4 linked regions of the Mytilus edulis genome follow. The protein of the gene in region 2 purifies or fractionates together with the protein of the main gene of each other region. This does not show direct contact. Links are inferred from orthologs where the notes say so. Each region holds a gene or a part of one and is shown on either strand. Other genes may lie near its edges.

Evidence for each region.
Region 1: the proteins of RNA-binding protein cabeza-like (region 2) and cell division cycle 5-like protein purify together in Homo sapiens (affinity purification with mass spectrometry; 4 studies listed by BioGRID and IntAct, with this or other methods). This does not show direct contact. The link is inferred for Mytilus edulis from reciprocal best matches to the Homo sapiens genes FUS and CDC5L.
Region 3: the proteins of RNA-binding protein cabeza-like (region 2) and splicing factor 3B subunit 3-like purify together in Homo sapiens (affinity purification with mass spectrometry; 3 studies listed by BioGRID and IntAct, with this or other methods). This does not show direct contact. The link is inferred for Mytilus edulis from reciprocal best matches to the Homo sapiens genes FUS and SF3B3.
Region 4: the proteins of RNA-binding protein cabeza-like (region 2) and ATP-dependent RNA helicase A-like purify together in Homo sapiens (affinity purification with mass spectrometry; 4 studies listed by BioGRID and IntAct, with this or other methods). This does not show direct contact. The link is inferred for Mytilus edulis from reciprocal best matches to the Homo sapiens genes FUS and DHX9.

Annotation. Positions count from the first base shown.
Region 1 is NC_092353.1:26,598,151-26,605,029, reverse strand, and holds the start of cell division cycle 5-like protein, read right to left. Parts: upstream 3,026-6,879; 5' UTR 2,916-3,025; coding exon 2,871-2,915; intron 553-2,870; coding exon 449-552; intron 1-448. Other genes in the region: uncharacterized protein, read left to right, coding at 6,096-6,879.
Region 2 is NC_092349.1:8,782,238-8,790,149, reverse strand, and holds the start of RNA-binding protein cabeza-like, read right to left. Parts: upstream 3,017-7,912; 5' UTR 2,940-3,016; coding exon 2,924-2,939; intron 1-2,923. UniProt on the Homo sapiens protein: DNA/RNA-binding protein that plays a role in various cellular processes such as transcription regulation, RNA splicing, RNA transport, DNA repair and damage response. Binds to ssRNA containing the consensus sequence 5'-AGGUAA-3'.
Region 3 is NC_092348.1:7,220,025-7,227,675, forward strand, and holds the start of splicing factor 3B subunit 3-like, read right to left. Parts: upstream 3,001-7,651; 5' UTR 2,860-3,000; intron 1,810-2,859; 5' UTR 1,801-1,809; coding exon 1,575-1,800; intron 640-1,574; coding exon 563-639; intron 1-562. UniProt on the Homo sapiens protein: Component of the 17S U2 SnRNP complex of the spliceosome, a large ribonucleoprotein complex that removes introns from transcribed pre-mRNAs.
Region 4 is NC_092345.1:50,208,128-50,216,052, forward strand, and holds the start of ATP-dependent RNA helicase A-like, read right to left. Parts: upstream 3,012-7,925; 5' UTR 2,960-3,011; exon of another isoform or gene 2,908-2,959; intron 681-2,907; coding exon 570-680; intron 1-569. UniProt on the Homo sapiens protein: Multifunctional ATP-dependent nucleic acid helicase that unwinds DNA and RNA in a 3' to 5' direction and that plays important roles in many processes, such as DNA replication, transcriptional activation, post-transcriptional RNA regulation, mRNA translation and RNA-mediated gene silencing.

The sequences.
Region 1 (6,879 bases), on a different chromosome or scaffold from region 2:
CCTTGTTTAGGAAAAACAAACTTTATATTGAAATTCTATATTTACATTCAACTCAGTGATTACATTCAAGTAAATAGTTTGATAAAAGAACGTTCATGACCAACCCCTCTCATGTTAAAATTGGTACTTGAAGAAAAAGCATGTTTGTGTTTGAAAAGTTGAAAACACAATATATTTTTGGCCTTAAACTACTCCACTGATCTTCATATTTGTATGTAGGACTACAGCAAAATATCAGTACACCTCAACTGATTTTCTTTCAAATTACACACATTAAACTTTACCTTTAATTTATCAGTAGTTGATTAAAAAAAAGAAGCACAAGACCTTAGGGATAATTACTTCATTATTATAATTTTTGTTGAAGAAGATTTAGCTCCTAGTTTAAGTAATTTCAGCTGGAGTTCTACGCTGTAACAATTTATTGTGTACATGTATCTCAACTTACCATCTAGCTTTACATTGTTTTGCTGATTTTCTGTGTAGCAATGATGCAATTCTAGCCCACTGGTTTTTGCCATATTTCATGACAGCTGCTTTCAGAATCTCATCCTGAAATAAAATATAAATATGTTTGCTATCATACTTGTATACAGCATTCTGTATTACAACATTCTTAATAGGCCATGACTGAGGAGCAGGGTCAATTGATTTCTATAGAAATGAAAAGTGTCAATGAATGATTATACAATTGCATACTTTATATCATTGGTTTAACATAAGTTTTTCCCATTAAACTGGCCTACTTTTAAGTACTAAAAGGCATTTTATAAACTGAATTTTAATGTTGGTATTGCTGTGTGTTCTTCACTTTTGCTTCAGTCCCAAGTCAGGAACCTCTGGCCTTTAATTTGTTTGTCTTGAATGTTTTTTATTTTTTGTTCATTTATATGTTTTGAAGTTTTCACTGAACTAGAACACATTTTTATTTAGGGGTTAGCTTATGCCCACCTCAAGTGCAGGATTTTCTCCCTGCATTGAAGACCCATTGGTGGCCTTCTGCTGTTATTTGGTCGTGTAGTTGTCTCTTTGACATATTCACCATTTCTTTATTCAATTTTACTAATCAATTTACTGTTGACCATGCTGTAGAAACAGCATAACTATAACTTACTCTTACTCTTATATTAATCCACCATTTTTTACATACATGTAAGAATGGTTGGATTTTTTTTAATACATTTGTCGATATTTACATGTACCTGCCTGTCCTTGACATTGCAAGAGATATCTTTTGAATCAGAAGCCACATAAAGGTGAATTTTTCACAAATTCTGAGGTTCAGTGTTGCAGATTCCAACATAGTCATTACAGTATATCAAAAGGTAGCCTGCTACAGAAATATCACTAGACATACAACTGGGTAGTAATGCCCTTTACAGTCAGGCGTCAACTGTCAATTTTCGGCTACTGTTAGCGTCAAATTGATTAAAATTTTACTGTGATTTGTAAAAATATCCTTATTGTGATTCGTCAGAGGGCTCAAATAATTAACGTTACCGTTATTTTTGGAAATAAATAAACGTGATCAACTAAATCTTTATTTTTTTATTGTCTACATGGTCTAAAAAAGAAAGTGCACATTTAATCGTCATGCACCAAAAATTACTGTTAACGTCATTTGGCAACAATTTTAACTGTTATTCGTCATGTCCATTACCACCCTTATACAACAGTATCAATATTAAGAATGTTTGATGTAAACGCCAAAACAAAAACATGCACTGTTGTAAAACAAAAATGTAAGCGTGTGTGAACTGATAAACTTCTTCTTCTTCTTCTTCTTCTGATATACAGTTACAGCTTCATTATTATTGAAGATTACGAACTGTTGCATGCGCGGAGTATATGATTAAAAAATATGAACAAAAATTTATCTTTAACTTAGTAGAATACTTGGTGATATTTACATGAAAGAAAACAACAAGTGATTAAAAAATATGTACATTGTTATTTATAGAATTAAATTATGTTGTGGAGAACAGTTGGTGTCAACTGATCTCTGTAAATTTCAATGGTTTGACTTGCTACCACAACTTGTGGCAACATGTTCCATTGAATGATTGTTTGCGGAAAGAATGACCATTTGTAGCTGTCTTTAGAGGTGGATATTTGCCGAAATGTTTGAGTATGTCATTTTCTTGTTCTAGTATCTGATGGTATGAGGACTAGTGATGGGATTGCAATGAGTCCATGGATGACCTTGTAGAACATGATAAGTCTGGTTTTGAGGCGGCGCTCACTGAGTGAGGGCCATTGTAGTTCGTTTAACATGGATGTAACGCTACTGGTGTTGTGGTAATTGTTACATACATATCGGGCCGCACGCCTCTGTACCATTTCTAGCTTATTTTTATAATCTGCTGTGTGTGGATCCCATAGACTACAGGCATATTCGAGTTTTGGTCTCACTATTGATTGGTAAGCACGGGATTTGATACTGGAGTTAGAAATTTTTAAGTTTCGCCTAAGAAAGCCAAGAGATTTATTTGCATTTGATACGATGTTGTTGTAGTGAATGTTCCATTTTAAGTTAGACTGTAGGGTTACGCCAAGATATTTTGCAGATGTTACTAGTTCTAAAGTATGGTTATGAAGGATGTAATCGTGTTTAAATGGTTGTTTTTTTTGTGTGATGGTTAAGATAGTGCATTTTCCAGGATGGAAGGCCATGAGCCAATCAGCCTCCCATTTCGCTGCTGCGTTAAGATCTTTTTGTAAATTTGTGCAGTCTTGTTGACATGTTATTTCTCGGTATATAATACTGTCATCAGCGAAGAGTCGTAGTTTGCTGTGTTCCAGGTATTCTGGAAAATCATTAATGTATATTAAAAAGAGTAAAAAACTTCCAATAATGTATGGACATTTACCTCCGTGTTACGCCAAACACCTCCTTTTATCATAATTCTCGGCATCTTGGCCTTTCACTTCTTAGATCTCTGTAAAAGGTGCCTAAAATGTAATTGTCTAAAAGTTTTTTTTTCCAATAACGTTGGGTATAATAAATTTAGCTAATAACCAAAATTAACAACGGACACGAATATATTTTAGATACACAACTCTATATATGATGATTGACTGCATTTCTGTACAGTTTTATTATTCTTCATATATTTTGTATAGTTCTGATATTTAATATAACCAAAATTAATCATTTTAAGAACAAAATTCGATAAATACATTTTATTTTGGTAACATGCTAAAAATGAACACTTTATTCTTCTGCAGCCTAATAGAAAGTCTAGAGAGAATCGAACGATATTTCCCCGCCTTTTTGAAAATAGCTGGATAAGCAGCCGGATTGTTTACACATCGTTTCCCAATCCTTTCTCAGATACAAATACAGTATAAAAGAACATATTTTTTTTACAGGAAAAAACGTAGTTCAGGATGGTCACCTCATCTTCCTGTTAGAATCATTGCAGATGAGGTGGCCACAATCAATTTGAACAGTTGAAAAAAATTATCTGAGACTATAACACATAGTAGTCTCAGGTTGAATGCATAGCAAATAAATTATTCTGAGCTCAAGGCATCATGTGAGCCATTACCATCACTGTGCCCCCTTGATTACTTTGCAGTTTCTTAATCAAAACATTTGAAAAATACCTGCATGATCATATGATTCATATTTGAATGAAACATCTTAATGATAGTCCATTGGCCAACTATCTATTTGATTCTATTATACAGAAATTGCTTCTCTTTTTCAAATATGACTGGTTCTATATCGTACAAATTTGGGGTCTGTCCTCAAAAGGCAAAATAAGTTGAATATGAAATATCAGCATTTGAATAATTCTGGAAGAAAAAAATGAAAAGCGCAACGGTTACCAGAGTTCCTGTCAACGTATATTTGTTCCACCTAATAGAAGTTCCAGTGGAAACTTTGTTATAAACAATGTCATAATACCTGTACCTGATGGAACAAATATTTTATACATTGGTTAGAGGTATAGGGGGAGGGTTGAGATCTCACAAACATAATTAACCCCGCCGCATTTTTGCGCCTGTCCCAAGTCAGGAGCCTCTGGCCTTTGTTAGTCTTGTATTGTTTTAATTTTAGTTTCTTGTGTACAATTTGGAAATTAGTATGGCGTTCATTATCACTGGACTAGTATATATTTGTTTAGGGGCCAGCTGAAGGACACCTCCGGGTGCGGGAATTTCTCGCTACATTGAAGACCTGTTGGTGACCCTCTGCTGTTGTTTTTTATTTGGTCGGGTTGTTGTCTCTTTGACACATTCCCCATTTCCATTCTCAATTTTATACTATTTATTCCGTTAAGAACATCTACTGTAATATTTATTCCAGAATATTTGTTCCATTTGGAAATTATATTATGAAGGAACTTCTGTTCCGTGACATTCCAACAGTTTACAGCTTACAGTAACAAAAAAATTATTGTAATTAAAAGATTTAAGAAACTTAAAGCTTACACACATTTAATTCTCACAGATAAGTTTGCTGTTTTTCTTAGCTCTTCATTGCCAATGAAAAATTTATGACCCTTCAAAGTTAGACAACTAAAAAATGGATCTCTTAATGCAGGGTCAATTCAATTAAGGAAATTGGCAAATAGTGTGTATAGTTTATAAATTGATGTTTTGATTGAATGTAGGACAGAAAGTCACAGGACAAATAGTCACAGGACAAAAAGTCACAGGACAAAAAGTCACAATTCAGTTTTGAGATTGGTTTTGAAAATATTTTTTTTGTATTTTCTTGAAGTTATATATATATATATGCTTTTAAATGCATAAACACGTTTTAACTTTTTTTTTATGATAATTTTATGAATTTTACCGTTAAACTCTATTACAAAATGTAATAATGTATATAACATGTGTTAAGTGTCTCATAAGTCAAATTTATGACTGGGTATTGATTGTTTTATTGTATACTGTGATTTGTAAATATTGTCAATCAATATGTGACACTATAATAAAATATATATTTATTTTATTTTATGAAGCAACTTTGTAATTAAAATTTATTCACTAAATATCAATAATGATCAAATAATTGTCATGATTTTTATGAAAACAAAATGTTAAAAGTGGCTTGGTACTTGAATGGATTTATTTTGCCAATAAATATATCCTTTTCATGATTAAAATTGTACTAACTACATTTTCATTTATCAAGGTTAATGAGCAATTTCCCTAACTTAAAAATATATATATGTTTTAAAAAGTAAATATATAAAAATATGTTTAAACAATTGTCAAAAAATTATTTGTGACTTTTTGTCCTATCAAATTTGTGACTTTATGTCCTCTGACTTTTTCATGTCCTGTGACTTTCTGTCCGTTTACCTTTTGATTTGGGTAAGAGGTATTTCTCTTTTGTTGCTATGTTGTATTGTTTCACTGCATGTGGATGCTAGACCAGAAGAAAAAAAAATGTTTTCTCAACAATTTTTTTTTTATCATTCACATAATGCATCACTAATGATCAATTAAAAATCTTTTCTCCGACTAGCTTTCAATTTTGTTTTTTCAAAAGGATTAATCAACCAGTTGCACCTTCAACATTTCAGCTAAGGGAAGTAACTTGCAATTACTATTGAAATTTAATTATCTAAGATTTTAAACAATAACAAACAAAACAACTGTTTCTCAAAACAGAATTATGGGTTGTCATTTAAAAACTAAATCAATAAGACCAAAAATATCGGTCAAAATTATAACAAATTTTCTGGTTAATTTTAAGCAGATATTGCTGCTGAAATTGTAGCAAATTAGAATAATACATTTTTTTTATACAATGATAAAATATTGTTGCTTATACGACAGTAGCAAATATTACATACTAATCATAATTTTATGAGTTATTGCCCTTAAAGGATAATATTTAAAAAAAAAAAATATTATGTTTTTGTGTACTAGCTTCCCCTATCCTGATAAAAAAAAAGTTATATGATGCAGCAAATAAACAAGATAACACTGTCCATCTTTATTTTAAATGTACATTACACATGTCATATCTAATTAACCTCATATTTTATCTTTCATATTATATCTACAAGTGTTAATAATTTGATTAAAAGTTTTGATATATATATATGGTTTTTTAACTTCAGACTTCAAAAATGGCTTCTTCTAAGTCTTTACAAAGAGGACAAATTCCAGTAGGTTGTGAACTTTGTGATGGTGGGAATAAAATCAAATTTAAATGTTTGGACTGTCAACTTTTAATGTGCAGCCGATGCAAGGATAAAGTCCATGCTAGATTTAAAAATGCAACTGAACATAGGATTAGAGACATTAAAGAGCTGGATCTGGAAGAAGAAGTGGATACATTTAACTTTAGAGATGTTAAATGTCTAGAACATCCAGACCAGGCTTGCTGTGTATACTGTCAAACTTGTAAGAAAGTCATCTGTTTAAAATGTGTAACCAAAGTCCACAATGGACACACCTTTATTGATGAAGAAGAGCTTAATGATAAAAAGACGATAACTAAAAGTGGACAGAAGAAAGCTGATGAAAGTATACATAATTTGACCAGTACATTACACAAAGTTCAGGACATAAAAGATCAGGAAGATGCTAAATTTAGAAAAATCAAGCAAGATATCCTTAGTCACAGGGATGCTTTTAAGTGTGAAGTTGATAAGCATGCTGATAATCTTGTAAAAGATCTGGAGCAGACATGGGAATTAAATAGCCAGGAAATCGGGGCAAAGCATAGCAAGATTAAGAAAACCTTAAAAAAATTACAGAGGAAGAGTAACACTGTAAAAAGTATTACAACTTCAAAAGATTTTGTCAAATTCTTTGATGATTTTGATAAATTTGCTGTTTCTTTGTGTGGAGCTACACCACAAGAAAACCTTGAGTTTTCATTATTGGGGAGATTCTTGCCAGACAAAA
Region 2 (7,912 bases):
GTGTAACGGTACATTAACATGTATTTTTTATTAAATTATCTTTATTCACCTAAAATATCCAGTAATATTTACTGTTGAAGCTAAATCAATCCAACGAACATCGGCACCATGATAAGAGACGTAATTTCGATTGAATTTTCCAAGGACCCTTTACATCGTTATTGGGAAACGAAGTGTGTTAAAACGTTGGTCAAATCTGAAATCGATTTTGTCAAGTCATTGGGCATTTATTTTCACACAAGATCGTATGTAACATTATGCACATAGGAAAAATAATAGACCCCCAGCGCAATCTCTTTGAAAATTGTATTTTCCTTTTTTAAACAAGACGAAACAAGCCTACAGATTATGTTTGCTTACATCCCGTTGGAAACAAATACAATGTTTAGACCTAGTATTTCGTATATCCGGCTGTAAGGGCGTGATCACATGTTAGTCACATGTTTCACGTATGACCTGAAATGATTAGAACTTAACGACAAAAACAATTTTAATAAATAAATGGACTTCTGTTTCGTGTGAAATGTAACGCATAACGATAACGTCATTTTCTAACTTAATTATTACGAAGAACAAAACAAGAATGTAAATCATCTCTGATTTTTTAAATCATTTACCTGTTTGAACATCTCGCGAGAGTTCGTATTTGCATATTGTTGCAAAGAATTCTTTTACAACAAAGCAGATTAAACCATCTAAAATGTGCATTACGAAATGGGAAACCAAAATAACGACAGTGTTCTTACACCTGCTACAGAAATACTTATAGTTCTCGGCATTTTCTTCTCACTATTCTTATTGGTCGATGTTCTTTGTTATTTTAATGCAAAAATTACGAATTTGCCGGTGACGATTATCTATAAATTAGTCAGCGTTATGCACTTCGGACGTGAAAAGTAACGCGAGAAACGACACACAAATACGGTCGTATAATCTTTGAAATTTGTTAATTTCAATTTTTTTTCTAGGGAAGAGTAGCATACACTTGTATGTTGATAAAAATAATGGCATCTTTAGATGTAGTTACAACTTTTCTTACAGTAATTCACATTTTATCACTTTTCTATAGTTATAGGAAACGGAGCCCAATAGCAAATTATGGTCCATATATGATCCATCTACATGTAATACTCCCACTGACCCAGTGTAATCTGTGGGCAACCGATCAAAACAACGCAAGATTGTGAACCCCAAATTCAGCTTTTTTAATGCTGTGATTGTAACATTTCTTTTTGCGAAATGATGGTATACTCTCAGAGGAATATAATGGTCTGAATGCCTTATTTCTATATATAACTGAACTTGTTTATTCATTTCATGACTGAAAAAGCATTGTTTGGTTTGGTGTGAAAAAAATGTGTTACTAAACATTACAAAATTTCTTGATGTCACCAAGCCTATTCTCTGACATCCAAAGCTGGGGCCATGGTATGTCTGAGCTTGTCCAATTTCAAAAAGTTGATGTTACCCTGTTCAAAATACATGCACTGCTTCCTAGCTTCTGGAGCTGTCTGAGGGCATTGGATCCATATAAATCTGGTCTCAATTTGTTCATTATTGAATATTCATTTATCACTTAATTTATGCAAGTTTCGAATCGTCTATCTGCCACCCTTTATTTTCAAATTTGGACACTTATCACAGTGCCCCATCATTTTTGCTTGTTATTAATTTAAACAATTTTAAATTTAAACTGAGCCAATGACTGACTTTTGATAGTCAGATATGGACAATATTACCTTCAACTTAACTTAACCATAACTTATAAGCACGATTACTAGTTCTAGTTGGACTTTATTCATTATTATTTTATTTTATTCAACCCCTTCATCCATGCTGGTAATGAAATTCAACATCAGAAGTGCGATATTAAAGATATTGAAACACCTCACACCAACAAGGATTTTCTAGTTGAATAATTCCAGACTAATATTAAATGGACATCAAGTTACTAAGAGTTCGTGGCCTCAAGACTCAAAATATGCAAATATTTATATTTTTTAACCTCCTTTAAAGGAAATAGATGTTTAACATTTAGTAGCCAGCCATGATACTTCACCTCCTTTACAGGAGATCGGTATTAAGCATTTAGTTCCGACCATGTTACAGTCGGAAGCTCTCGGACATTTAGATAACTTGCATCGTAAATAAACGAGGTGTTACATTATGGTCATTTGCATAAATCATCACTGTTTTCATGTGGTCATGTGATAATCTTTGAAAATGAAAGGCAAAATGAGGAAATCAATGGGTCACTGTGAAAACTGTATAATTATGAGAAAATAAAGGTTGGCAGGTAGGTGAAACTTACATAAATGAAGACATAAATGAAAAATGAACAGATTGATGCCTGATTTATATAATTCCAAGGCCATCAGTCGGCACCAGACGTGACAAGCTGCGCATTTATTTTGGGTGGGCAAATATCCACTTTTTGATACGGGACAAGCTCTGACGTCCCATGGCCCCAGCAAAACAGCCGTTGGACGTCAGAGTAATCTCGGACTACTATAAGACTTAATGTCAGCTCGTTTTTTTTCCTTACATTTTTTTTTAATTTCAGAAAACTTTTCAATTGATTTTATAATACATTTAGACCGGCTTTCTAGTTTTACATCTCGATTGAGGTCCATCAATGCATCATCTTTTTCATAATGCAAGTTAATTAATTTGTAAGTGCTGCGTCTTAACATAACATTGTGTTTCAATTGGCTTCATTAACGCCCGGTGCGATGCCGGCATTTTTGTGCGAAATGTTGACTTGTTACGGCAATTTACCATGATTTGAGCTAAATACTGGTATCGCCCAATACAATTATATCTATCATCGTCTAACAACATAAATATGGGACACAGGGATGACTTTACAAAGCATTTCTTGAGCTAAAACAATAATTTAAGGGTAAAAAGAGTGTTTTCTTACGACTTGCATCCGCCATTGTCTGTTCGTTTTTGTGCAAGAGTCACGTGGTATAGACCGCGTGTGTTTAAGGAACCATGTGACCATACAATTTTTTTAAGAACTTTTAGATTTTGTGAGAAATATATAGATTTTACATATCAATTGGTAAATATTTAACTTGTGTTCTTCAGTACTTAAATTTCTATAATTTATTGCAACAATAATCAATTTATGCGACAACAGAAACTTATCAGTTCGACATTTATCTTTTCATTATCCTGTTGCAGACCTCAATTTCTTTTTGTGAGCATGCGCAACTAGTTTCTAATCAAATTATGAGCAACACACCATAGGAAGGAAAATCAGTTTTAAACAGGGGTGTCATAGGGGACATGTGGTGAAGCGTGTTAGTACGAATTCATGTGTTTATCCATTTTTCAGTTGATCTAAGAAGACTTTCTTAAAATAAATATCAAAAACAAGTAAACAATTGTCATTATTGACATCAAAAACAAAATTCTCTTTTTTAATTTCCGAATTAGCTACGTTTTAGCAAGAATTAAGACGGTAGCTGGGTCATTTTTACGTGTACGCCCGAAACTTGACGAGGGATATGAGGGGTGACAACCGCTCAATGTTAAAGCACCTGCTGGTAGTGGGTTCGAAAGGGACGAAGCCCCCGACAGCTATCGAGAATAAGATACCGTAATATATGCTTCCTGTCAGTAAAAAATCATTGATAGCAACATACTTTTGTATCTAAATGGTTTGTTTGTTTTTGTTAAATTTTGTAATATGTTAACCTATTCATCGTGTTAAACTGGAAGCAAACCTAATGGTTATTGGTTTCAGAGAAAACAAAAAATATTTCTAAGAGGTGCAATATAAAAAAAATCTGGAATACCTAGGATTTCTTCCCACAAAAAGTAAATCAATTTATCATTCATTTAAACATGTTAAAGGGATTTAAAAAATAAACTAAAATTTTCTTTTGATATTTTTTTCTTGATCTGGAATATTTCACGATAATCTATGAAGGTTTATAAATTGAGCATGTAAAACAATTAATTGCGTAACATTCGTAAAGAAGAGTCCGCCTATCTGTCTATCAAAAAAGAACAGAAAAATGATCGAAAACTTATAAAGTGCAGAAAGAAATACGTTTTGTCCTTAAATAAACTCATCATAGATACCAGGACTAAATTTTGTATATATGCCAGACGCGCGTTTCAATTAATTTTATTTTAAAAATTCAAGTGTAATCCCGGTCGTTTTGACGTAAACGTAGCTACGCGCATGTAAACGGGAAGAAAGTCACAGGAAATAAAAGTCAGAAATTTGATAGGACAAAAATTCAAAAATTCGCAATTTATTTGTTGACCATTGTTTGAATGTATAAGATAAAGATCTTGCAATGTTTTCTTTTCATTACATATATTCATTTTAAGTCTCAGAAATTGTTCATAAGTCTTGATAAATGAAAATTTATTAAATTTTAATCATTCAAAAGATATATTTCTTGTTCTTAATGGGGGCTCGCTGGTGTTAATCTTTTATTATTTAAATATAGGATTTCGCATATATTTTTTTTTCTATAAATGGACTTTTGCATACATACTTAATAGAATTATAAAAAGTTTTCATTATACAACTTATGTACATATTCTTTTTTCTGAGGAAAATTCTTTAATTTGTCCACATTTAGAAGAAGTTTACTTATTTTGAATTGCTTGCTTCCAGTAAGCAATTCGCCGACATATTTTCCGTATGCATAGTGACCTGAGCGTAAACCTCCTCGTAAAAATCCGGTGACCGCAATACGCATGGATCTGTCACTAAAATAAACAATTATCTGATTGTACATGTTATGCACGTGTTCAATATCCATGTTTTTTTTTGGTTGATTATCAACTTTAAGGTGACAATCGGTAAATAGTTATCGAAGGTACCAGGATTATAATTTAATACGCCAGACTCGCGTTTCGTCTACATAAAAGTCATCAGTGACGCTCAGATCAAAACAGTTAAAAAGCCAAACAAATACAAAGTTAGAAGAGCATTGAGGATCAAAAATTCCAAAAAGTTGTGTTAAATACGGCTAAGGTAATCTACTCCTGGGGGTAAGAAAATCCTTAGTTTTTTTGAAAAATTCAATTTTGTAAACGGGAAATTTATAAAAATGACCATATAATTGATATTCATGTCAACACTAAAGTGCTGACTACTGGGCTGGTGATACCCTAGGGGACGAAACGTCCACCAGCAGTGGAATCGACCCAGTGGTGTAAATAGTTATCAAAGGTACCAGGATTATATTTTAATACACCAGACGCGCGTTTCGTCTACATAAGACTCACCAGTGACGCTCAGATCAAAACCGTAACAGATAGAAAACTCAGGGTCAAAATTCATAGAACAGAAAAGGGGCAGTGGCAAATATTTCATGTATATTTTGAACACCGAGAGAATTACCCCGGCACCCTTTGCCAAAAAAAACCTTTCTTTTTTCTTATTTGTGCCTTCGGATTTTATGTTTTGAATTGTAGTTTCACTTTCCATATTCGGTATTTATTTAAATGTAAGCTCCACGTGGTAAAAATCACGTGATGCAGGAATATAGTATTTTGGAGTTTGGCTATTTCTTTCTTTTCGGGAAGGGACTCCAAGCAAACAACATGCATGTGTATAACGGCACTGTAGATTTTCGTATTAAATAAAGAAAGTTGCCGGTCCGGTACATGAATAGATTGGTTAGAAAGCAAGGTTTTAATTTTTAATTGGAAAGCTTAATTCGAGGGTTAAACATAGAGAGCACAAAAAAAGGGGGGGAGGTGTTCCACAGGGAATATTTTTTATCTTATGAACTGTACATTTGAAAGGTTTATTATTTTTTTTATTTAATTAAAAAAGAGAAAAACAAATATAAGACAAATTGTGAATGGTCTTTCTTCCTTTCTCCCTTGCCAAGAAATTGCCTCCGTTGAAATACTGCAAACACCCCATAGAGCAAATTACATGGATGATTAATTTTGACCATTTGGTATACGACCGTGTTCTAAGCGACACGTACATGAAGGTCATACATTAATTTCTTGAATGAAATCAAATCTTTAGCTACTAATGACTGCCGTAGGGGGTCGACCGAAATTTTTAGCGAGGATTTCTTGGCATGTTTAAAAAGCCAAACAAATACAAAGTTGGAAGAGCATTGAGGACCCAAATTCCCAAAAAGTTGTGCCAAATACGGCTAAGGTAACCTACTCCTGGGGATGAGAAAATTCTTAGTTTTTCGAAAAATTCTAAGTTTTGTAAACAGGAAATTTATAAAAAATGACCATATAATTGATATTCATGTCAACACCGAAGTGCTGACTGCTGGGCTGGTGATACCGGTAACTACGGCTTCAAAACACGACGATGGGGTTCGTGATCTTTATTTTTTAGTTTTGTATGTTGTGTCATGTGTACTATTGTTTGTCTGTTTGTCTTTTTCATTTTTAGCCATGGCGTTGTCAGTTTATTTTAGATTTCTGAGTTTGACTGTCCCTTTGGTATCTTCGTCCCTCTTTTAACGAGCTGCCATATTTTCTCATTATAACAGACAGAGCGAACAAAAAATGACGATTATACGATATAAATGCGTAAACAATGATAAAATCAAGCACAGTAGACTACGTTTATGATAATATAATAATAATAATAATTCTTTATTTAAAGAGGGTTACACAGTTAGCTGTAAAGCTAATCTTCCCTGAGGCCCTCATAAAATACAATGAAATATAACAAACAATTACAAAATATCAAACAGACACACATACATGAACAATGAATAAAAAATTGTTATGAAATATACAATTTTCAAAACAGGTAAAAGTTACAAATTCATATATGACATGTATAGTATTGGCATCAACAATATCATAAGTTTGAGTAAGTGTGTGAAAATTATTATGCATATAAAAAATGCACAGCTTCTTAATGTTCCATCAAGTAATTTTTTAAATCTTTTTTGAATGAGCTTGTACTTGAGGTTGATTTTTTCAGGGATATTGGTAAGTTATTCCATAAAACAGATCATGAATATATAAAAGATTTCTTATAAAGCTCTGTTTTGGCTTTTGGAACTTGTAAATTTTTGCAAGAGGCATTTCTCAAACGACATTGGTTTATTTCTGGCATTTCTTTAAACTTTTCAGTGAGATATACAGGGGCTTCATTCTTAAGGCATTTATGCATCAAAACAGATTTGTGGTATGAGATTCTGTTCTCTACTGTCATCCATCCAAGCTGTTTAAACAGTGGAGCGGATGATGAAAGTGGATCAGCATCTAAAATAAGTCTTGCAGCCCTTTTTTGCAATTTTATTATTCTGACTAGCTCATTTTTAGCACAACCACTCTAAATAATACAACAATAATCTATCAGTGGGAGAATATAACCATTATAAAATAATTTTCTTAGATCAATATTTAGAAATTTCTTGATTTTAGAGAGTAAAAAAATTCTTGATGAAATTGATGAACATAAGTAATTAATATGGCCTGTCCAGGACAGATTAGAGTCAATTCTAACACCTAAAAGTTTTTCAATTGATGATTTTTGAAGAATATTATTCTCAATAGTTAGAACTGGATCTGCTTGATTTAAACGCAGCCTTTGTCTTGTACCTATAACCATACATTTCGTCTTATCTGAATTTATGAACATGCTATTTTCATGACACCATTTTTCAACACATTGGAGATCATCTTGTACTTTTAATTGCATGTCACCAATAGTCTTTCCTGATGTATGTATAGTTGTGTCATCAGCATACAAGTCTGTATGGCAGTTTTTGATGTGTAATGGAAGGTCATTTATGAACAAAACAAACAAAATGGGACCAAGTATTGAGCCCTGTGGAACACCAAAATTTATAAACTTTTTATTAGAAAACTGATTATTTATATGGACTTGCAGTGTTCTTTCACTCAAATATGATTTTAAAAAATCAACTGTATCTTCATGGAA
Region 3 (7,651 bases), on a different chromosome or scaffold from region 2:
TTTATGATCATAAGATAGTATCCAGAAGTAAATTTTTTAAAACGATAAATTAATTTTTTCCTTAATTTACTGTAAATGGACTTAGATTTTCTGCCAGGAAACAACACATTCACTCTGTGGTTAAAATTTTTAAAAATCTTGATAACTTTCTTATACTATTTTTAATTTGTACCAAACGTGGACATAAGCTTGTATCTAGAAGGAAATTTTGTTAATATTTTGTACCTGTGTATCTGTATTTTACTTGTAAATGGACTTAGTTTTTCTTCCAGTTAACATTACATCCAGTCTGCAGTTAAAGTTTTTAAAATTCATAAACTATCCTGGATTTTTACCAAACTTGGACAGAAGCTTCTTACAATCAAAAGATAGTATCAAGCGGAATATTTCTATTGATTTTTTTCTTTCCTTTTTGTTGAGCCTGTAATTTACAGCAACAGTAGGCGAGACACTGGTTTGTGGAACCCTCACAAATTTGTTTTATTATACAGATGTTCCTTTCTTTCTAAAACACGAAAATTCAAATATGTGGTAAACATTTTTTTATCAGCTGTAAACCTACCCTTTCAAACACATTCTTCTGAGGTATATATTCCAAGATAGTAATTCTTCCAGAGTCGGACCCAACCACAATGTAATCTGAAAATATCATTTTACTCAAAAATTGGCATGTATACAATAATTTTTAGGTAAATTTGCAAATGTTAAGTACTTCAAAATTAAATATATGGTAGCTTGTTGTTAATAGCTTGATTTACCTAACTAAGTATCAGTCAATTCCCTACCTATCATTAACTATACTGACAGACTTCTCTGTAATACCTCTACCATATAGGTGGCCACAAGTTTTTGTTGAGTGTTTGTCCTTGGAAACATTTTTTTCATAGAATTTTTTTTTGTGTATGTGAGAAAAACTGAATTACACTCTCAGTGATTTCAAAGGTCAGTCAGACATTGGCAAATGTCCGGTAATTTTGAGACTGGTCTAGTTATTTTCGGTTTCAAGTGTCCGATATAAATTTATTGAATTAAATAATTTTAAAATGCATCTGTCGGCATGTTATATATCATCACACTTTAGCGTGTCATTTGATCGCACTAAAAAAAAAACATCAACCATCGCACTTTATAAGAGTCCTACATAAATGTATAAAAGACAACTAAAGGATTTTGATTTCTGGTGCTTAAATGCCACCTTTGAGCACTGCATAGCCATATATTTAGGCTATTTTGGTGCAGCCAGTTTTTATTGGTGGAGGGACAACTAAAAGAAGATCTATAAAAAGCCATACATCAGGCCATAAAAAAGAATAGGTTTGTTTGCCCAAACCCTACGTATATACCTACCCAGAAAAAAGCTGCCTACTCAAATTCTTTTCTTGTCCTGATTTGAAGCAGTTTTTTTTTTTTAATCAGATAGGCATGAAGACTAATAAACACCCGATACTTCAATTTCTTTTTTTGAAAAAAAAGAAAGAAAATGCCTACCTACCTACCCACTGTCTCAACCTTTGGATAGTGTTTGGGCAAACCAAAATATTTTTAATTGTGGCCTCAGCAGTTATTTAACTTACCTTTAGAACCACCAGTCAATCTGAAGGGAATAAGAGCTCTAATAGTTCCAAATATTTCTGTTGACAACAAAGGGTAACATTTTCCAGTATTTGGGTCATGTTTTAGAAGTTCCAAAATTTTGCCTCTGGATACAACTATTTCTTGTAACTTGCTTCCAGAAAAGTTGCCATGGATTGCATGAGCAATACCAGTAGCTCTTTGTAAAGTTAAGTTATACAGATACATTCTTCAAGCCTGAAATACAGATAAAGCAGTTGTGAGATGTCTAAGATTTTTTCAACACGATGTGACCTATGTAAAAATCTGATTGTGAAAATATCTAACTGAGAAAAATATTAGTTTTAGTTGATAATATTTTTAAAAAACTTAACTGTGTTGCTGCATTGTAGATTGCTTCCTCTAAAAGTGAAAACCTTTATTTTGCAAAGGTCTTACTCATTTGAGAAGAGTTTCCTACGTATAGTACGTTACATGTGGAGCAGTATCTGCTTACCCTTCTGGATCGCCCCTAGTTTTGTTTTAACATGTTTAAAGGTGTTAGTGTTGCTCTTGCTTTAAATTGTGTACTTTTTTCACTGTCTACATTGTTTGTGCATTTAGGGGCAGGGTCACTTCCTTCCCATGTGGAGCAAGTGGTTGAAAACATACAAATCTGTATTGCACAAATCAATCGGCAAATTAAATTTCATAATTGATAATCAGCATTGCTTTCATTATGAACGATTAAGTACCTGTGGAACTAACAATATTTCTAGTTATTCTGCATAATACAGATCGTGAAGTTGTTTGACTAACTTTACAGGCAATTCCCTCTATCTGGTAAATGGCGATTGGCATGCATAATTTTACTGACAAACTTTTCACTTTCAGTTTCAGGGGAAGGACATAAAAATTTATTTAAACTAGGTATGAGCTGTTCATCAAAGCCCATGTTACCGTTATCTTTTCTACATATGCGTCGTTTAATGCGCTGTTGATAAAAGTAAACATGCATAAACTGTATATAATTTAAGGTTTTCTGTGGTATATTTTTGTTGTGTTCGGTGCTTTTGCAGCCCGATAATAGACAAAAATAGCTTTACATGGTTGACATATACCGCACAATAAACATTAATGAATTAGGATATACTCCGATATCATGAGGAACATGATATCAAGTTATTTTCTTGTATGTTCTAAATGTCACTGAACAAGGGTGGTATAAACACAGGAAATGCAATGTATTGTAGAGATTTGTGGGCTTTCATTCGGGTTTGTTATCATTGAATGTTATCTTATTTGCACCTTATTTCTTTATCATGACATGTCAGCATAAGAAAAGCATTTGATTTCAATGGATTAAGCTCACTGTAACTTTGAATGGTGATCAAGCCGGCATTTTCCTAGCGTTTCCGGAAGCGGAAATGTTCAGTTGACATTGTAAACCAACAACCCAAATGCGATTTAATATCGCAAATCAAGACAACGTCCTAATCTATATTTTGAATGTTCATCAAAATTGTCGATTTCTGGACGTATTTTTATTTAAGTTAGTAGGACGGATTAAGATCCTTTGGGGCTAAAAAAATAAGCTTGATTTAAAATAGAACCAAAAATAATAAAGGAAACTCATATTATGAACAAGTAAGGACATTAAAGGTTATTTTTAATATCATACAGATAAGAATGGCATACCAGTTCAGTTCACGGTTTCCTGTATTTATAAAGAAAAATATTCTCCTATGGCATGTATGGGGAGACACAAATATAATACTCAAAAGGTGAGAATGTTTCTTGTGCATGATATTCAAGAAAGAGGCACTCAATTTTCCTGTCTTGACTTCTCGTGTGTGTGATGTGTTTTACACTTTATAAAATGTTACGGATTTGTTTATGTGGACCGTTTTGAAAATCTTCATACGATGTGTTTTTAATTTGTTTGTGGCATTTGTTTTTCCAGAATGATTCATTGTTTTTAATTTCTATCAATCTTTCCCGTAGAATTTTCTATGTAATGACTACAGATGTTTTAGAAATAGTGTTCCCCACTCTATTGCTAAGGTTATTTTCTCTATGGTCAGCCAGAACTATTTGTCTGTGTATAATTCCCACTCTTTTCTGGCAATGTTTATAAAGAAGGTAAGTATGTTTTCCCCTCGGTTCTGCTCCTACAAGAGGGTAAGCAGTGGTATTTGACTTATGATATATGTACCGATATCTTATGTTTAAAATTATAGTAAATAAAAGACCGAACTCAAAGTTAAATAAAAAGGTTTTTCGTGGGACAATATAATGCATTCATTAAAAATATTTTTAATTTATTTTTAGTTGGATATCTAAATATTAATTGGTATAATGATTTCATATTTAAAGTTTCTTGTATTTCTATGACTCTAAATCATCTGTTTGCCCCTCAACTCATAGACCTTTTTAACAATTGTCTACACCTACAGTTGAGCACGACTACGACAGGTAAGATGTGAGGGGTCGTTTCAAAAATAAAAAATAAAAATAATACGATACTTCACTAATCATCACTAAGAGATTTAATGCTTGCAATTTATTTGAGTGACAATGATACCTTCCAACAGAGTAAAATGGCATTTTTAAATTTAGAAAGAAAAAAAACAACGATCAACTCATTTTCTGTACGGTGGAGAAAAAAAACCCAAAAAAAACAACAACAATCTCTGATCGACTAAAAAGGAATCAAATATGAAGGCGAAGCATAATTTCCACCGTGTGAGGCCGGATAATTAATATGTATGTGGCAGCTATTCTTATGGATCTTTCGAAAGCTTTTGACTGTTTACCACATTATATCCTTTTAAGTAAATTATCTGCCTACAGTCTTTCTTCTAAATCAGTGAAATTACTTCAAAATTATCTTACAGATCGTAGGCAACAAATCAAACTTCAAGGAGTACTCAGCAGTTGGGCTGACATCCAGAAAGGGGTACCCCAAGGCTCAATCCTGGGGCCCCTATTATTTAATATTTTTTATAAATGACATATTCTATTTTATTGAACATGGTACCCTATATTATATAATTATGCCGATGATAATACTCTGTCATATGCAGACAACAATTTTGAAAATTTATTATGTACACTTGAAAGAGAAAGTGCTGTTTTAACTGACTGGTTTTGTTTTAATTGTTTGCAGGCAAATCCCGACAAATTCCAAGCCATTGCAGTTGGAAATAAAACATATGGCATAGCATTTTTGCAACAAAGAGAACACCACCAAATTGGAAAAAAATCAGGAAAGGGCTTTACAATTTATATATGAAGACTATGTTAGTTTATATGCTGAACTTCTTTTACGAGCAAAGGTTCCATCACTGAAAATTAGACGTACATGCATAACATGGCTATTGAGTGTTTTAAAATTTTATATTAATTGTCACCACCATGCTTACATGATTCAGTTGTATTGAAAGATTGTAAATATAATTTTTATTTTTAGATATTCCAATATTGTAGATATACCTAGGGTCCGAACATCAACCTATGGTAAGAACTATTTTAAATACACAGGCTGTTTAATGGAATGATCTACCTGATGATTTTAGAAAAAATGCTAATTTTAGTCAGTTCAAAAATATTTTAAAATCATGGAATGGAAATGGCTGTAAGTGCATAGTTTGCGCAGACTTTTAGTTTATATATTATGCAAATTTATTTACCGTCTAGATCATACCCCATTTTTCAAATTTTTATGCTATGCATTTTGCGGTTGTATTGTTATAAATGTTGTATTGTTAAACATGTCTCGTATGTCGGTTAAAAGCTCATTAGAGCTTATGTTTGTCTATGTTTGTATACCTTGCTGACTCTAAATAAAGCTTATTTATTTATTTATTATTATATCTATACACAGTATCAACATTTTCAGGACTTGGTTCAGGCGAACAAAACAGGCGACAGGATTACTAGATTAAAAAAACCCTCCCTTATGCATGGTCATAGACGAAATTTAAAAAGAATCATTTGTAAAAAAAATTAAAAGATTATAAAACCGGCAAAGATTTGTCTACGATAAAATAGATAATATAAGTTATATGGTTCGCTACTGACCCCATACGGATCCATAGAGGGTTAGTAAAATCCATAGGGAGGTGAGGCCGGAGGCCGAGTCCCCTATGCATTTTATTCACCCTCTATGGATCCGTAGGGAGTCAGTAGTTAACCGTATAACGAATTTATCGGACGCTGGACTTTTTCTGCGGCATTTTGTTGAAAAATAAACAACAACATTAATGGATGACGTCGCCATTAACGCGTCATGAACCCCATATGAAACTTACTTACCCCATACGGTCTCTTATCGGACCACAGATGAATTATCACGTTGTGATTGGTTAAACGCCGCAACGGGGGTCAGTAGGGAACCATATAACTTATAATAGGGGGTCACCACGTGACGGTGTTTAACCAATCACAACGTGATAATTCATCTGTGGTCCGATAACGTTCTATAGTAACTAGTATGTTGAATTATAAATTCCATACGCACGTATGTACTGCTTAAATGTTGATACATCTCCCCTTATTCAAGAAGGAAATACACCAACTTTAAGATATCTTGATCTTTTCATTCGACCTTTAAAATCAATATGCCTACCCCTCCCAAAATTTAACATGTACATCGGGTAAGGTTTAGATCGTTTAAAGAAGTATCGACCGTGTTAACAAGTGTGATAACAGACGGACAGACAGTCCAGTATTAATATTCTTTCAGAAATTCTCAGAAATTTTCAGAAAAACTTAAACAGATACACATTTATTCTTATTGCATGGCATGCGGCATAATCATAAAGTTGAAGAGAAAGCTGATCAGGATGCGGAATGATTGAAGTAATTTTTAGCTCACCTGGCCCGAAGGGCCAAGTGAGCTTTTCTTATCACTTTGCGTCCGGCGTCCGTCGTTAGCTTTTACAAAAATTTTCTCCTCTGAAACTACTGGGCCAAATTAAACCAAACTTGGTAACAATCATTATTGGGGTATCTAGTTTAAAAAATGTGTGGCGTGACTCGGCCAACCAACCAAGATGGCCGCCATGTTTAAAAATAGAACATAGGGGTAAAATGTAGGTTTTGGCTTATAACTCTGAAACCATTTGCATTTAGAGCAAATCTGACATGGGGTAAAATTGTTTATCAGGGTTGTTGGGTTGCTGCCCCTGAATTGGCAATTTTAAGGAAAATTATACCGTTTTTTGGTTATTATCTTGAATATTATTATAGATAGAAATACACTGCAAACAGCAATAATGTTCAGCAAAGTAAGATCTACAAAAAAGTCATTTTTTACCAATTTTTCGTATTTTTTTCTAATCTTTTACAAAAGTCTTCTCCTCTAAAACCACTAGTCCAAATTTAACCATACTTGGCCATAATTATCATTGAGGTATCTTGTTTAAAAAATGTGTGCAGTGATTCTGCCAACCAACCAAGATGGCCACCATGGCTAAAAATAGAACATAGGGGTAAAATGTAGATTTTGGCTTATAACTCTGAAACCAAAGAATTAAGAGCAATTCAGACAGGGTTAAATTGTTTTGCAAGTCAAGATCGATCTGCCCTGAAATTTTCAGATGAATCCGACACCATGTTGTTGGGTTGCTGCTCCTGAATTGGTATTTTTTAAGGAAATTTTACTGTTTTTGGTTATTATCTTGAATATTATTATAGATAGAGATAAACTGTAAACAGCAATAATGTTCAGCAAAGTAAGATCCACAAACAAGTCAACATGACCAAAAAGGTCAGTTGACCCCTTAAGGAGTAATTGCCCTTTATTGTCAATTTTTATTTTGTAAATTTTAAAATATTTTCCTCTGTATTTAATGGGCGAAGTTCATTATAAATTGAGATAATTGTAAGAAGCAAGAATGTTCAGTAAAGTAAGATCTACAAACACATCACCATCACTAAAACACAATTTTGTCATGAATCCATCTGTGTCCTTTGTTTAATATGCACATAGACCAAGGTGAGCAACACAGGCTCTTAAGAGCCTCTAGTTTAATCAATTCAACGTGAAATGTCGTGTAAATACATGTAATAAGAATATTGTATGATAGAGAAATAT
Region 4 (7,925 bases), on a different chromosome or scaffold from region 2:
TTACAGGACACATAAATTCCAAACATATGATTTTAAAACAAAGCATTGCAATGAAAGGTCAAATGTAGATGACTGTGTGATAGGCATGTACCCTATAGTGGGTAATAAATAAGACGTCATTCAGGTAAACAAATTATATACAATTACAATAGGCATATGTTTGTCAATTTTTAACACTTTTTTACTACAACCATTTCCATGATATCAGTATCTGCAAAAATATCTGACAGGGATTCAAAAATCGTCCAACATTTTTCAAATCATTTTTAAATCCATGTCAAATACTTTGCTGCCACAGAACCTTGAAATTTCACACTAGATGCTACTTAAACAAACTGTTTTTCAATGTTCATTTGTAAATTGCTTAGTATCTGATAATGGAAATTAGATGTAAACTCTAAATAAGTCATTAAAGCAATGTGATCGATTACTGTGGAAGTCTGATTATGATTACTAAAATGACTAATTATGCCAACTCCTTACCTGTAAAACATGTAATAGGTCAGGTGAGCTAGGAAAGGAGCTGTAATGTTTTACATGCATTAATAAATTCCAAAATATTGACATACCTCACATTTAAACCTTGGTTTATGTTTTGATCCTGTCTGGCCAAACTCATAACATGGTGTGACCTTTCTTTTCCCACACCAAGCATATAAAAACTGTTTAACGTCACCCATCTACAAAAAAATCATAAAATAATAGATCTATGAAAAATACCACTGTTTATTATAATCGTAATAAATTTGTTCTCTGCATAATTGCTAGATTATGTACAATGTAATGTATACATGTATATATATACTTGCAAATGTATTGTTTGTTCATACCAGCATTTTTAAAGACTCAAATAGACATATATCCATAAAGCAGATTCTTCGTCCAATACCCATCCCTCACCACTACACGGCACTGTTTATTTATGTTATTGTAGTCATCAGGTGTACACAAGTTAGTAACCTTTAGAAAATTATATGCATTACTCAATCGTTCCTCCATGCCCCCAGTAAGTCATCATTTCATCAACATAATCATGATAATATTTGTTAACAAACTGACTTGAACATGTTATACTGGATAAAGAAAACATTGGTCAGCATTGCAATTAAAAGTATTTTGACACATAATTTTAAGTACTTCCAACTTTGAAGTATAAAAAAATATTTGGAGGAAATTTTAAGGATTAGAAATTGACACACACATTAGCATGATTAGTCTTAATTAAAATGTAACACCTTAAGGTTTGATAAAAAATGTCATCCAAGTTGAACAAAATGACAGTTATCCATGGTTATCAATTGTTTCCTATATGATTATGGACAGTAATTTGGTTTTTCAAGTAAGTGCCTTCATTTCACCTTATTGCAACGAATTGAACAGACTTACTTATATACCAAATGAATATATTAAAGAGACTATAGTAGCACTTTTGAGGTCTTAATGTAATTCATTTACACCTGTCATTAGTAATGATTACTTCAAATCAAGTTACAAGTAAGTTTCAGCCAAATTGGTCATCACAATTTAACTCATAATTAATATATAGACCATCTACATATTACAGACATTTTTAGTTATACATCATTTCTGGAGTCATGTCCTCCATGATAAATATTGCATACCTTTATGATGTCATTTACAAATGTACCAGATAGAAGATTAAGGCGAGCCTGTATCCCTGCGCTATTAAAGTTTCAAGCAATTTCACAATCATACATTGTAATTCTGCATGGAAGCTACAGTCTAGAAATAATTTACATGATTTATGTTTCGTAAGTAGGTAATCTTAATTTCCTTATGACTGAAGCGAGGGTGACCAACTTATTAGATTTAATTTCCAATATATTCTGTGCAGTACAAGATACAACTTTTTTAACCAGTTGAGGACGAACAGACTGATAGACAATTCATTTTTAATGGTATACCATAATATGTCCCATGAACGGCCTAATTAAAGTGATTTTTGCATGACCTCAGATGGTTATTTACTAAAGACTGACAAGATCCAGCTAGGGTCATTCTGAGGGCAAATTCAGCTAAATACCCCAAAGTGTAAAATGAAGATACAAATGTACCTTATACACCTTATCTTAAGGCAAGTGCATGTGACTTTATCCCTATTAGTCCGCATTATTACAGGACATCACAAAAGTTTACATAAAATTTTGACATCATAATACAAAATATCTGATGCCACAATGGATAATTGATAATTGATTGTTGTATGACGTCAATAGTTCGAGCTATTCTCAGGTAAACCAGCACATATATTTCCAAATACTGAAAGTGGGTCTCATTCAGTCATTGTGGTCTAAGTGTGACACAGGATTGCCATTTTTTTGTAAGCGTGACACTTGAGAGTAAAATTATTGTGCTGTGAAAACGGGAAATAAAGTCTAGCGGGACACAGGAAATTACAAAAAAACAAGAATTACACGGTACATAAAGACTATTAAAGCGGGATACGGGAATCTGACAAAACAATAAGAGTAATCTGGAATCAGAACCCCCCTGAAATAGTGATGAGGTGTATTCAGCACAGGCACTTGTTTCTATCCATAGGAAGGTCGACTATCCATCTATTTATCTGTTTATATATATGGATAGTCGACCTTCCTATGGATAGAAACAAGTGCCTGTGGTATTCAGTTATTAGCATGATTGGCAGTTACCTTTGTCTGGTTAGCAAGCTTTATATAAAATAATTTATTAAACTAAGATATTCACGATGATCAATGATGAATATTAAGATTAAACTTGAGTTTTAAAATAATTTACTGGGGAAACCAGACTTTCTCTTGCAAACGAATGCGTACAACTGTTTGTAACCAGTCATCCTCCTTGGCATTTATATATTTACAAAAACACTGCGGCTAAATACCACATATTCAAACAATGTCATATGACCTTAGAATGCCTTCATTAGATGTAAAGCAGTTTCATTTAGCAGAGCACCTACTCTTGTTTACGGGGACGTCAACTCTTTCAGCAGATCTACCTTTATTCGACCCAAATTCCTTTCGCCACTATTCGATCAAAACCGTCGACCCATATCAGTTCTCTGGAACTCCTTTGGATATAAGTGCTCAACAACAACAACACAACAACAATAATAATATTAATGCGGATTAAAAAATATTTAATTATTAAAAATTTAAAAGAGGCATGCATATGGTCGTTTTTCAAAAAGTAAAATCACAAAAATACTGAACTTAGAGGAAGATCAATTGGGAAAGTCCATAATCAATACACATTATCGCTAATCTCGCCGCTGCCCCGGCAGCTTGAACTTTTGCAATCTTATTAAAATTTTAATATTTAAATTAAGGGGACGACCATTTGATATTCTGGGGGGGGGGGAGGGGGCAGGAGGATTTTGAAAATAAATAACTTGGCCTTGATAATCACAAAAATAAATGGTTTGTTCTGTGGTAGTTTGAAAATAAAATACCTGACTTGCAATCAAAAATAAATAACTCAGCAGGTCTAATCGAAAGTATGAGATGGCACCAGATTCTTCATAAATTCATCTTTTCCCCAAAAAAAATCGGGAAACTCTTCCCAATTTTTTAATAATAAAAGTATAAATATTATTCAAATATACTTGAAACATGTGAAATGTCTGAAAATTGGTTTCATTTAACTTGAGGTAAATTGTCTCAGGAAACCTTGCCTCACTTTTATTTTAACTGGGCCGTAACTACATTGAGGCAAATGCCTAACTACATTGAGGCAAATGCCTCATGTAGGAAATTTCAAAACCAAACACTTGTCTCCATATCAAATTGTGTTCACGGCGAGTCCCTTGCAAAAAGCAAGTTCTGTTTTTCCTCAGACGTAGCCCTGATTTGTCGGGATCAATGTTTCTTATTTCATGTATTTATTTGTCTTTTGTTCATTGATTGCCCTTCTGTATTCTGTTAGTGTTGCATTTCTTTTTGTAATCTAGGACTGTAGTTTTGTTGTGAACTTGATCATGAGTTTTAAAAAAAACAGCAGCCACAGACTTAACTATGTGAATTCCGTTTTTGCTTTATCATGCACATTGGTCTTTTGATGTTGTCCCTAGAAACTTAATTCTTACACTGAATTTATGTCAAAATAAAAAAAATGAAAAAAGGTGACCGTGCCTGATGACGTCACACCAAAAGTACACAACTTTTCTCAAATCTTTGAAAAGGGAGGATAAAAATCATAAGAGAAACAGATTCCACCACTGTAATTACTCGTGTATTACGATATTTCTCTACTCTCAACAGTTAAATTTTAATTATTTCAAAAGCTCGACAAGCCTCGCCCTTTAAATATTAAAATTTAACTGTCTCGAGTGGAGAAATAGTTGTGGAATCTATATTTCGCAGTGGACACTACCACTACCATGCAGTCTTTTTTTTACTCTTTTTTTCAATTATTTCGCGCAAAACAAATAACAAGAGTTAGTTTCATGTAATTTTCAGTATGTTTTTATCAACATAGAATAGGGTTGATGTGAACTACGAAATTTTTGTCAACTACGAAACGGGTTTGTCAACTACGAAACTCATCAAAATGTCCACTACGTAACATGAGTTGTACCTTCATATGTGAAGTACTGTCTAATCTTTATCGATAAAAAATGGTTTTCCAATTCAGACAAAAATTAGATCTTTCTAGTATATAAAGTAAAACAAACTGGAATGTCTATAGAAGACATTAAAGTGCAGTAAGATGTGCGTTTAGAAGCAGTTTCGTAGTGGACAAAAGTCCCCTACGGAACAGTACATAAATTAAGAAAATAATATCATTTTAAAGAGTATTTAAGATTGCACTTTTTATATACAAACAGGTCTACAATAGAGGTATTCAAAATAACTCTCGAAATAAAATTTTAAACAAGTTGATTTTCCATTTTTTTTTGTGTCTGAAATTCAGTTTTATTGAAAAACGCCCGTATACCAGTCCAGTCGCCCATGAACAAAATCTTGATACAGTAAAAAAAAATAGATGAAGGTGATTTTTTCACAATCCCACACTTTTTAACAGAAAATTTGGAACTAAAATATTTTAAAGTTGTCAACTGATTTAGACACTATAAGCGTAGTTCCCAAGTTTCCATCATAGCAGATGATCTGGATAACACTAACGATAACTTTAAAAAAAAAAAAAAAAAAAAAAAAAAGGAAAACAAAAAAGGAAAACAAAAATCGACGCTAGTATCACGGCCGACACTCGGCTAACCGAGAGATTGGTCGGTTAATCTATATTGAGTATGCGGCTATATCGGCAGTGAGTCTGTTAATCGGGTTGGCTAAAGTCTGTTAATCAGGTGTTATCGAGAAAATCATTGAAAACTCAGAATGTTTCATTGTATAACCTTTTAAATATATGTTTATCATAAAAAATATTTATGTCTGACAAAACTATTCAATGTACTGAATCCTGTGGTGTAATTATTATTTTTCTAGCTTCTATGTACGATCTATAAAATGAAAAGGCAAATTACTCATCAGTAAATTTATACACATTTTACACACACAAAATGTACACAAAATGACATTTGGGTTGAATTTACTTGCATGCACTATTTTGAACATCGAAAAAAGACAGGCATTATGAGTGTCAACCAAATTGATATCATTTTGTGAAAAATCTACACGAAAATCTGTATTTTGGTGACATAAATCAATCTTTATTAAAAACCTGGTCTGTTAATGGGTCGGATGTATAAAACCCGGTCTGTTAATTAGTCTGTTAAGAGTTATGAATGACAATAAAAGTATAATTTTATTACTTTATGGTGTGTTCATTTGGTAGGCTCAAGACAAGCGGCTAAAATATACGGAAACAACACTTGAGCAATGGAACATAAAATATATACGGAAACAAAACATGAGCAATGGAATATAAAATATACGGAACAAAACACATGAACAATAACAATGTAGGCAATGGATATTGAAAATTGATAAAAATGGTTTCAAAAAGTGTTAAATTAAAGTAAAATTGTTTTTATCCGAAAATGGTCGCATATATCATGTGGATTCTGTTTAATTGTCATGAATGACACCAATTTGTCATCTACATTGGTAACCAGTATATAAATCAGAGATTAACGTCGTAATGTAACTAAACATCAGTATATTGGGATGCCTAAATATAAAGAATAGAGAAAGAATAATGGGTAAGATAAATAAAATGTAGAGAAAAGTAACAAAACTATTTAAAGAATACAGAAATAAACAACACCCCCCAATCCGTACCCTCATGGTATACACGAGAATCTGGATGGAGATACAGAATACAAAATAAAAGATAAGGACAGTAGAGAGTGATGCATTGCTAAAAAAGAGAAGAAAACAATTTGTTTAAGAATAAAGACATGAAACCCCCTGGGTGTTGAAACAGTAACGGATTGCGATGTACTCATATTGGTGACAAATGCTTGACGCTTACATGTGGACACCTGCAGTTCTCCTCTGCACATATGTAGAAAGGGAACTAAACGGAATAAAATGAATTAAATTCTAATACAACCAAATGTAGCTGCATTCGATTCTTTCCATTTACTTCTTTAGAATGATTTGTAAACAACAGATGATTAAGTAATACAAGAAAAAAAACAATTGGATGATGCTGAGGAATTAGGATTAAGGTGGTACCGAACACTTTCACTGAAATCAATGTGGTTCGTTTAATTTGGATAAAATTTTGACAAGTATTTAATTTGAACCTTTAACAGAAATATAAAAATTTCAAAAAATTTGAACCAACCGTTTTGTCAGAAAAATTAACTGGTTATATAGCAGTTTGACAAACACCAATTTTGATCTTCGAGAAGCTTATTATTCCCTTTACAACACAACGTAATTAAAACGTATCACTGACTTTACAGAGTTATCTCCCTGTAGTGTTGGGTACCACCTAAACGTCCAGTGACAAATGTCATGTGCATATGAAAACGACAACACGTTATATATGTACCCTGTGTTGTATTAGAAAGACACGTTCAATCGGATTTGAGAACATGCTACTTTGAGCAGACACAAAAATTAAGGCTGATTGAAATCGTTAATAATAAATTCATGCATATTCCAGCGACCAACCAGATTTCGCTATATTGAAGTGACACACTCTTGAGTAAAATGCAAAGAAAGTCAAAATAAAAATGCTTTTACTGGAAGGATAGTGTTGCATCGTATTATTATTTTTTGTCGAGCCTTCGACTTTAGTCGAAAAAGCGAGACTAAGCGATCCTACATTCCGTCGTCGTCGGTGTCGTCGTCGTCGGCGGCGTCCACAAATATTCACTCTGTGGTTAAAGTTTTTGAAATTTTAATAATTTTCTTGAACTATACTGGATTTCTAACAACCTTGGACAGAAGCTTGTTTATGATCATATTAAGATAGTATCCAGAAGTAAATTTTGTAAAAATAAAATTCCATTTTTTCCGTATTTTACTTATAAATCATGGACTTAGTTTGTTCTGCGGGGAAACATTACATTCACTCTGTGGTTAAAGTTTTTAAAGTTTTAATAACTTTCTTAAACTATCCTTAGATTGTACCAAACATGGACAGAAGTTTGTTTATGATCATAAGATAGTATCGAGAAGTAAATTTATTAAATTAAGTAAATCCATTTTTTCCCGTATTTTACTTTTGAATGGACTTAGTTTTTCTGCGGGGAAACATTACATTCACTCTGTGGTTAAAGTTTTTAAAAATTTAATAACTTTCTTAAACTATCCTGGGTTTGTACCAAACTTGGACAGAAGCTTATTTATGATTATAAGATAGTATCAAGAAGTAAATATTGTAAAAAGATAACTCCATTTATTCTGTATTTTACTTTTAAATGGACTTAGGTTTTCTTCCAGTTAACATTACATACAGTCTGCAGTTAAAGTTTTCAAAACATTTATTAGATTCATTCACTATCCTAAATT